Callithrix jacchus: one gene and its partner. The protein of the gene in region 1 purifies or fractionates together with the protein of each later gene. This does not show direct contact. Links are inferred from orthologs where the notes say so. Each region holds a gene or a part of one and is shown on either strand. Other genes may lie near its edges.

What was found. The genes of interacting proteins can lie anywhere in the genome.
Region 2: the proteins of NCOA4 (region 1) and FTL purify together in Homo sapiens (co-immunoprecipitation; 3 studies listed by BioGRID and IntAct, counting the BioPlex papers as one, with this or other methods). This does not show direct contact. The link is inferred for Callithrix jacchus from reciprocal best matches to the Homo sapiens genes NCOA4 and FTL.

The regions. Positions count from the first base shown.
Region 1 is NC_133513.1:38,764,564-38,768,588, forward strand, and holds the start of NCOA4 (nuclear receptor coactivator 4), read left to right. Parts: upstream 1-1,225; 5' UTR 1,226-1,290; intron 1,291-4,025. UniProt on the Homo sapiens protein: Cargo receptor for the autophagic turnover of the iron-binding ferritin complex, playing a central role in iron homeostasis. Acts as an adapter for delivery of ferritin to lysosomes and autophagic degradation of ferritin, a process named ferritinophagy.
Region 2 is NC_133523.1:42,797,853-42,801,416, reverse strand, and holds FTL (ferritin light chain), read right to left. Parts: upstream 2,124-3,564; 5' UTR 1,920-2,123; coding exon 1,818-1,919; intron 1,657-1,817; coding exon 1,510-1,656; intron 1,094-1,509; coding exon 968-1,093; intron 796-967; coding exon 643-795; 3' UTR 501-642; downstream 1-500.

The sequences.
Region 1 (4,025 bases):
GTAGTGAGGTTGCCTTGCCCCTTGTAGGAGTCACTATTGGGTGGGATCCATAAAACCCTGCTATGATCTTCTCCTTTGCTGGGGAATGTGGGGAAACAGTTGCCAACCGAGTATGGAGGCCCTCTGTCAAAACTGAGACAGAAAGAAGCGCTATTTTAACATCTGGTCACAAGTAAATAATGTGGGTTATAATCTGGGCTGTAAGCTGGCCGTGGTGGCTCAGGCTTGTAATTCCAGGTGAGGTGAGCCGATCGCTCGTGCTCAGTTTGAGAGTAGTCTTGGTATAACACAGAAAGACCCTGTCTCCATACAAAAAAAATTTTAAAACCAGGCACCATGGCGCATGTCTGTATGTAATCCCACCTACTCAGAAGGTTGAGGCGGGAGAATCACTTGAACCCAGCAGGAAGAGGTTGCCGCGAGCTGAAATTGCGCCACTGCACTCCAGCTTGGGCAACAGGGCCAGACCCTGTCTCAAAGAAAAAAGAATCTGGGCTCTGACATTTATTTATTTACTCAACCTGTTTTTTTTTTTTTTTTTGAGACGGAGTCTTGCTCTGTCGCCCATGCTGGAATGGAGTGCAGTGGTCTGGTCTCAACTCATTGCAAACTCTGCCTCCAGGTTCAAGGGATTCCCGTGCCACAGCCTCCTGAGTAGCTGGGACTACAGGCACGCGCCACCATGCTCAGCCAGTTTTTTGTATTTTTAGTAGAGTCGGGTTTCACCGTGTTAACCAGGATGGTTTAGATCTCCTGACCTCGTGATCCAGTCGCCTCGGCCTCTGAAAGTGCTGGGATTACAGGCGTGAGCCCCCTCAGCCGGTTTATTTACTCAATCTTTGGCAAAAAAAAATGTGGCAAAGGTGGAATTATACATCATATAGCCTTTTGTGTCTTATGATACTCATTTTTGCATCTGAACGTTGAACCTATATAATATCTAGTTTGTGAGGACATCTGAATCACTTGGGATGGTAATCGGCACCCAATTTGCCTTCAAAAAAAAAATGTTTGCTTCATTTAAGTTGATTTATTTACGAAGGGCGAAAGGACACTGTGCAAGGGCGGGGAGGGTATGTGCGCCTGCGCTCTGCGCCTTCTAGAGGGCAGTCAAGGGCTTCCGGCTGACCCGAGCGGAGATCTCGCGAGACTGTCAGACGTATGGAGAGAGGCCTGGGAGGAAGATTGTGTTCTCGCGAGAACTCTGCCTTTGGGCCCTAGGTTTGTGTGGGGCCGAGTCTCAGTCCATCCAAGGTCCTTTCGGATCTCCCGGAGAGGCATTCGGACCTGGTAAGAACACCATGGGTCGTGCGGAGGCGCGATGACCGCTGACCCGCTGGGCTCGGCTTTGTCCGTCCCTTCGCGACCCGACCGACACCCAGCCCGGCCTGCGTTTTCCTCTCTTTCCCTCCACACGCCGGGCCCGGGCACCTCCTCCTGTCTGCCTGCCGGGCCCGGGCCGGCCTTCTCCCCTTCCCTCCACACGCCGGGCCCGGGCCTATCCTTTCCTCCTGGATCCTCCTCACACCCGGCCCCGGACACCTCCTGCTCCTCGCCGGCCTTCCCCTGGCTTTGGGTGTGACAGTTCCAAGTTTACAATTTCTCTCGCCTCTTGCCTGGGCCTCGGGCGAGGCGCTGTCTGTTTTGCTGTACGGGTCCGGAACATAATCCATTTCTAGCTTGTTAGGTGGAAATGCAAAGAAGATACTTGGTTTTTTGGTCTTTTGTGTGCCAAACACATACCGTCTCATTTAATTCTCCCAATTGCGAAAAGTAGCTTGATTATGTCTGTTTTACAGATGAGAAGAGAGAGGCTTGCTCATTCATTGTTTCATTCCACTAACAATCATTTATTTATTTATTTGGTGCCAGGATGTTGAGGATAGCAATGAAAAAAATGGACACACTCCTTATTCTCATGGAACTAAATTCTTGTGGTGGGAACAACGATAATAGTAATCTCACCTGGCACGGGATTTAATGTGGAATGATGTAATCAAGAATGGCGGAAGTAGAATGACAAAAGTCAGAGTGCTAGTATTTATCTGACCCCAGAGGCAGAACTTTTTTCCCTCTTAACCACACCTTTTTGTGTCACTTTTTTTTCCCCGCCCCCCGAGACGGAGTTTCGCTTGTTACCCAGGCTGGAGTGCAATGGCGCCATCTCGGCTCACTCAACCTCCGCCTCCTGGGTTCAGGCAATTCCTCTGCCTCAGACTCCTGAGTAGCTGGGATTACAGGCATGCGCCACCATGCCCAGCTAATTTTTTGTATTTTTAGTAGAGACAGGGTTTCACCATGTTGACCAGGATGGTCTCGATCTCTTGACCTCGTGATCCACCTGCCTCGGCCTCCCAAAGTGCTGGGATTACAGGCTTGAGCTACCGCGCCCGGCCCTCTTTTTTTTTTGAGATGGAGTTTTGCTCTTGTTGCCCAGGCTGGAGTGCAATAGCACAATCTTGGCTCATTACAACCTCCGCCTCCCAGGTTCAAGCGATTCTCCTGCCTCAGCCTCCTGAGTAGCTGGGATTACAGGCATGCACCACCATGCTTGGCTAATTTTGTATTTTTAGTAGAGACAGGGTTTCGCCATGTTGGACAGGCTGGTTTCGAACTCCTGACCTCTAGTGATCCACCCTCCTCGGCCTCCCAAAGTGCTGGAATTACAGGCATGAGCTGTGTCACTTTGTAATCAGAGTCGGGTTCACCATAGTAACTGCTTTTGGATAGACTTAGCTTTCCACCACGCACTTGGTAATTTCGAACTAAGTTTTAGAGACTCTCGAGTTACTTATTGGAATGAAGATGGCACAGGAAGTCATAGCCCATTTCTGTACCAAGATCCTACTGTGACATTTCCAAACTTTAAAGTGCGTGAGACCATTTGAGAAAGACTTACCCTAATGATGCAATGGAGGAAGATTCATTTGCTACCTTGTGGCTTAGGCAATTTAGTTGGTTTTCTCATTTGAAGATTTGCTAGCTTGCGGATTTGCTCAGATAAGTAAATGAGATAATATATGTAAAGTCTAGCACAATAACATTCCCTTCATATTCTCCTTTCCTCCGTTCCAGAGAGCCTTTGTCCTTGGGTCTCTAAAGAAAGTCCTACCCTTTGAAAGTTTTGTGATAATTTATATCTAATAAATCTCTACAGTTACATTATTACCTTTGTGCAAACAGGTATTTCAGAAATGGAAAACCACATTGAGCTATGGAAGGAAAGGAAGATGTGCTTCTCAAAGGGAGAGAATATATTTTAGAACTACATAGTACTCCTCACCTCTATTTTAATAAATCAGCATAGCTGTGCCAGAATCTCAGGAACCTGTGAAGGGGTTTCATAAAACTCCATAGGATACCCTGACACATATCCCTCCCCTGCCATTTGAGAGCCCCTAGTGTTTTATAATACTTTCCCTCATATAATATTAGCATTCAGAACCAGTCATTTCTACTGCTGATGGACTTTGAACTCAGTCTCTTATTTCAAAGAATTAGTATTTTCTGCCTGGTGAATCTATGATATAAATTCTCCTCTAGGTGGCAGGTTCACCATTGTGTTCTGAGGGACTATCACAGTAGTGTCAGTTTAGGTACTCAATACATAGTTGTTGGATGAATACGTAATACCTTAATACTTCATTACTCTTTCAGCATACCAGGTGTGGTTAGGGACTTTAGACTCAGATCTGGGATTAAATCTTGGCTCTTGTACTTGGAAGTTTGTGACTGTAGGTAATATATTTAACCTTGTCAAGCCTTTTTTTTTTTTTTTTAATTAATGGTGATGATAATAGCCATTTTAATGGTTTGTGAGGCTAAACGAGATAAGTTTTTTAAAAAAGCTTGGCACATAATAGACTATATGTAAATACTGACTGAATTCATTTACTCAATAACTAATTATTTAACACATACTATACAACAGTGAACAAAAAGACAAAGTCCCCGCCATGTGGAACTTACCTTCTAGTGTGTTTTCTGAAGGGAGATCAGAAAATAAATGGTTGCTACATGCCAGA
Region 2 (3,564 bases), on another chromosome or scaffold:
CTTTTTTTATTCTTTTTGGTATTTTTAGCAGAGACAGGGTTTCACCATGTTGGCCAGGCTGGTCTTCAACTCCTGACTTCAGATGACCGACCACCTTAGCCTCCCAAAGTGTTGGGATCACAGGTGTGAGCCACCACACCCGGCCATGGCACACAATATTTAAGAGATTGGCATGATGCCTGGCCTCACCATCACCCATTAAATAGGGCTGTTTCTGGCTACTGAGACCTAACAGATCTGTTTCCAGGGACCAACCTGAGTCTTAATTCAACTCCCTGAATTCTATCTCTACCATCTGGTAGGGACAGTTAACAGCCAGGCAAGCAGAGAACCCTCAGGCTCAACATAACCCACAGACAGCTCTTGTCTTAGAACAGATAAGAAAACCGGAGATGCAGCCAACGCCTTTTTCGCTGCCATCCCAATCCAGCCAGAAGCTTTATGAGAACAGATCCCACCTCATCTTCTGCACCAACCACACCACACACAAAACCACCAGCTGCTTCAAATAGCTTTATTTCCATTTGGTCCAAGGCTTGTAAGGGTAGTTAGAAAGCTGCCTAGTGGCTGGAGGGAGAGGCTTAGGCAGAAGCGCTGTTACTTTGCAAAGGCCCTTCCTAAGTGGCCGGGCTCAGCAGGCTCTTAGTCGTGCTTGAGAGTGAGCCTTTCAAAGAGATACTCGCCCAGCCCAGCCTGTGGGCTGGCCAGCCTGCGGAGGTTGGTCAGGTGGTCACCCATCTTCTTGATGATTTTCACTTCCTCATCTAGGAAGTGACTCTCCAGGAAGTCACAGAGCTGAGAGAAAAGAGGAAGAAATTAGAAACCCAGTCCCTGGAAAAGAGGGAGAGCTCCCAACTGCAGATTGAAATGTGACAGGTGTGAAATGTGGCTCTGAAGGAAATCTGCCCAAAGGGAGGCAAGGCTTGAGGGGTATGGTTGGGTAGCGATGGATGCAGTGGGTTCTTACATGGGGGTCCGTGCGGGCAGAACCCAGGGCATGAAGATCCAAAAGAGCCTGGTTCAGATTTTTCTCCAGGGCCATGGCGGCTTCCATGGCGTCCAGGGTTTTACCCCACTCATCTTGAGCCGGCTTCTATACAGGAGGGAAAGTGCTCAGAATACACACACCGGCACAAAGAACCAAAGTGACATTTCCCAAGAGTCGTTGGGGATCAAAAGGACATGTGACCCTTGTATTTATCACTCCGAACTCCGTCCTTTTTTTTTTTTTTAAATGGGGTTTCACCATGATGGCCAGGCTGGTGCCACCGCGCCCGGCTACTCCGTCCTATCTTTTACAACGACATCTATAGAAGACCACGCAGCGGTGTGGACTGCCGCATCATGGGGGCACTGCACGACGTGAGACACCATTTCCAGCTGTTAAGAACGCTTACAAAACCGAACTCAATCTCCCAGAAGCCCACGCGACATCTAAGCCCACAAGCCAAGGCGCCTCGCGCGCACGGACTGCTGGGAGATGTAGTCCATTACCCTCAAGCCAGTTACCTTGATGTCCTGAAAGAGAGCGCGGCCGCCACGCTGGTTTTGCATCTTCAGGAGACGCTCATAGCCCTCGCGTTTCTCCTCGGCCAATTCGCGGAAGAAGTGGCTCACGCCTTCCAGAGCTACATCATCGCGGTCGAAATAGTAGCCCTGCGGGAAGAGATGGAGGGAACAGTGGTTAGCGAGAGGCGAGGCCAGGGGGAACTCCGCCCTCTGTTTACCCGACCGGACAAAGAAAGCCGGCGCCTGCGCCGAGGGCCGGAGGTGCGCAGTTGGAGGAAATTAGGGCCAGGGGCGTCCCGGGGACTCACCAGAGAGAGGTAGGTGTAGGAGGCCTGCAGGTACACATTGACCAGGTGGTTGACGGCTGCCTCCACGTCGGTGGAATAATTCTGACGAATCTGGGAGCTCATGGTTGGTTGGCAAAAAGGAGCTAACCACAAAAACGGTGTTAGCAGGTTCCCAGAAGCAGGAGATGACCGAGAAGATGGTCCCGGAGGTTGCAACTGGAGAGGAAACTGGAGGGCGGTCGGAGGCTGGAAGAAAGAGTCCCCGGGATCTGTTCCGTCCAAACACTGTTGAAGCAAGAGACAGATCCGCGGGACCGCCGAACTGCTATGGGACGTGGCGAGGGCGGCTCCCTTTATAGTGCGCGGGCCCTCGGGGGCGGGGCGTTCGGGGCGGGCGATCGGCCAATCTGCGGTGGCAGGAGGCGGGACCGAAGGCCGTGCCTGACCAATCCGGAGCAGAAAGGAGTCTCAGCCCCCCGACCCGAAGCAGGGCGAAGTCACGCGCCTGTAACCCGAGGCTGTTGTGAAATGGGGGATGGGGGTTGGGGGCCCTGGGCCTGCTTCAGGGAAGTGAAGGGTTTCATGAGCGGGGTGAGGGTCCCTCTGGGAGCGAGAGTTGTATAGGAGCATTAAGAGCCCTGTGAACTGATGAGCCTGGGGTCCTGGGGTGTCTCGGGAAAGTAAGTCAGATTCTGGGGTTTCCGAGGGCATGGATTTTTTCTGGAACCTTGAGTCTGGAGAGGGGCACCTCAGAGGCGCAGAGAGGATCTCTAGTTGTCCTAGGTTTGCGCTGCGAGATAAGGGGGTCTCGGGATCCTTGGGAAGTTTGAAAGGCTGTAGGTGAACCCCTGGGGATCTCTGGGAGACGGAGGGTTGGGGGGACTGGAGCCCTGGGGTTTACAGAGGCGAGGGTTTACGATGCAAAGTCTGTATTTTTTTGGAGCCCTCCCAGAAGAGATCTTTACGTCTTTGAGATTCTCTGCAGCTTGGAAAGGGCAGTTGTTCTGGAGCCGTGGGGTTCACCCAGTGCTGGAAGCCCGGGAGGAGCATTGTACCAGGTGGGGTGACTTCTGGAACGGTGGACAGCCTTCTGGACCCTCCCAAGATTGGCTGGGCCTTTGGGGATACCTTGGAGCTCTTTCAGGGGCCCAGTGCTTTCCTGGGAGTGGACACAGGGAGGAATGCAATGTCTCTTTCGAGCTTTGCAGTGTCTCTGGGGCTGCATTTCCTGGGGGCTGTTTTGAAGCCAACCCCCTGGCCTCGAGAACTTTGAGAATTCTCCTTGGCCCTGAAACAATCTCTAAAGTTGCCCCAGTGTCTTGGCTGACATGTGCTCCTTCAGGCCCACCAAGAGAAGCTCTGCGTTGTGGACCGATGGACGAGACATCTGTCGTCGGCTGATGCGGATTTTTTACGTGGGCCTGGTCCATGCTGATTTCTGGGAGACAGTTGGCACAAACATTGACCCTACTTAAGCGCCCTGATCGAGGCAGCCGGTGCGCTGGGCAGGGAGCTGAAGCCACTGGGGTGTGGGGTGTGAGATCAGGTCCTGCCCTACCGAGAGCCGCTCCGAGCAGCCCCGGCGGGGCAGCCCCTGACCAAGGGGATCTGCAGATGCCCGGCCGGGCCGCTATCTGGGGTCCTTGTTGCAGGCAGCGGCTGCTGGGCTGCTGAGTCATGGTGAGCTCAGCGCAGGAAGGGGCTCCAAGGGGGACGGATGGGGGTGGGGCCACTGGCTGACCTCATCCCCTTGGCACTGCCTGACTTT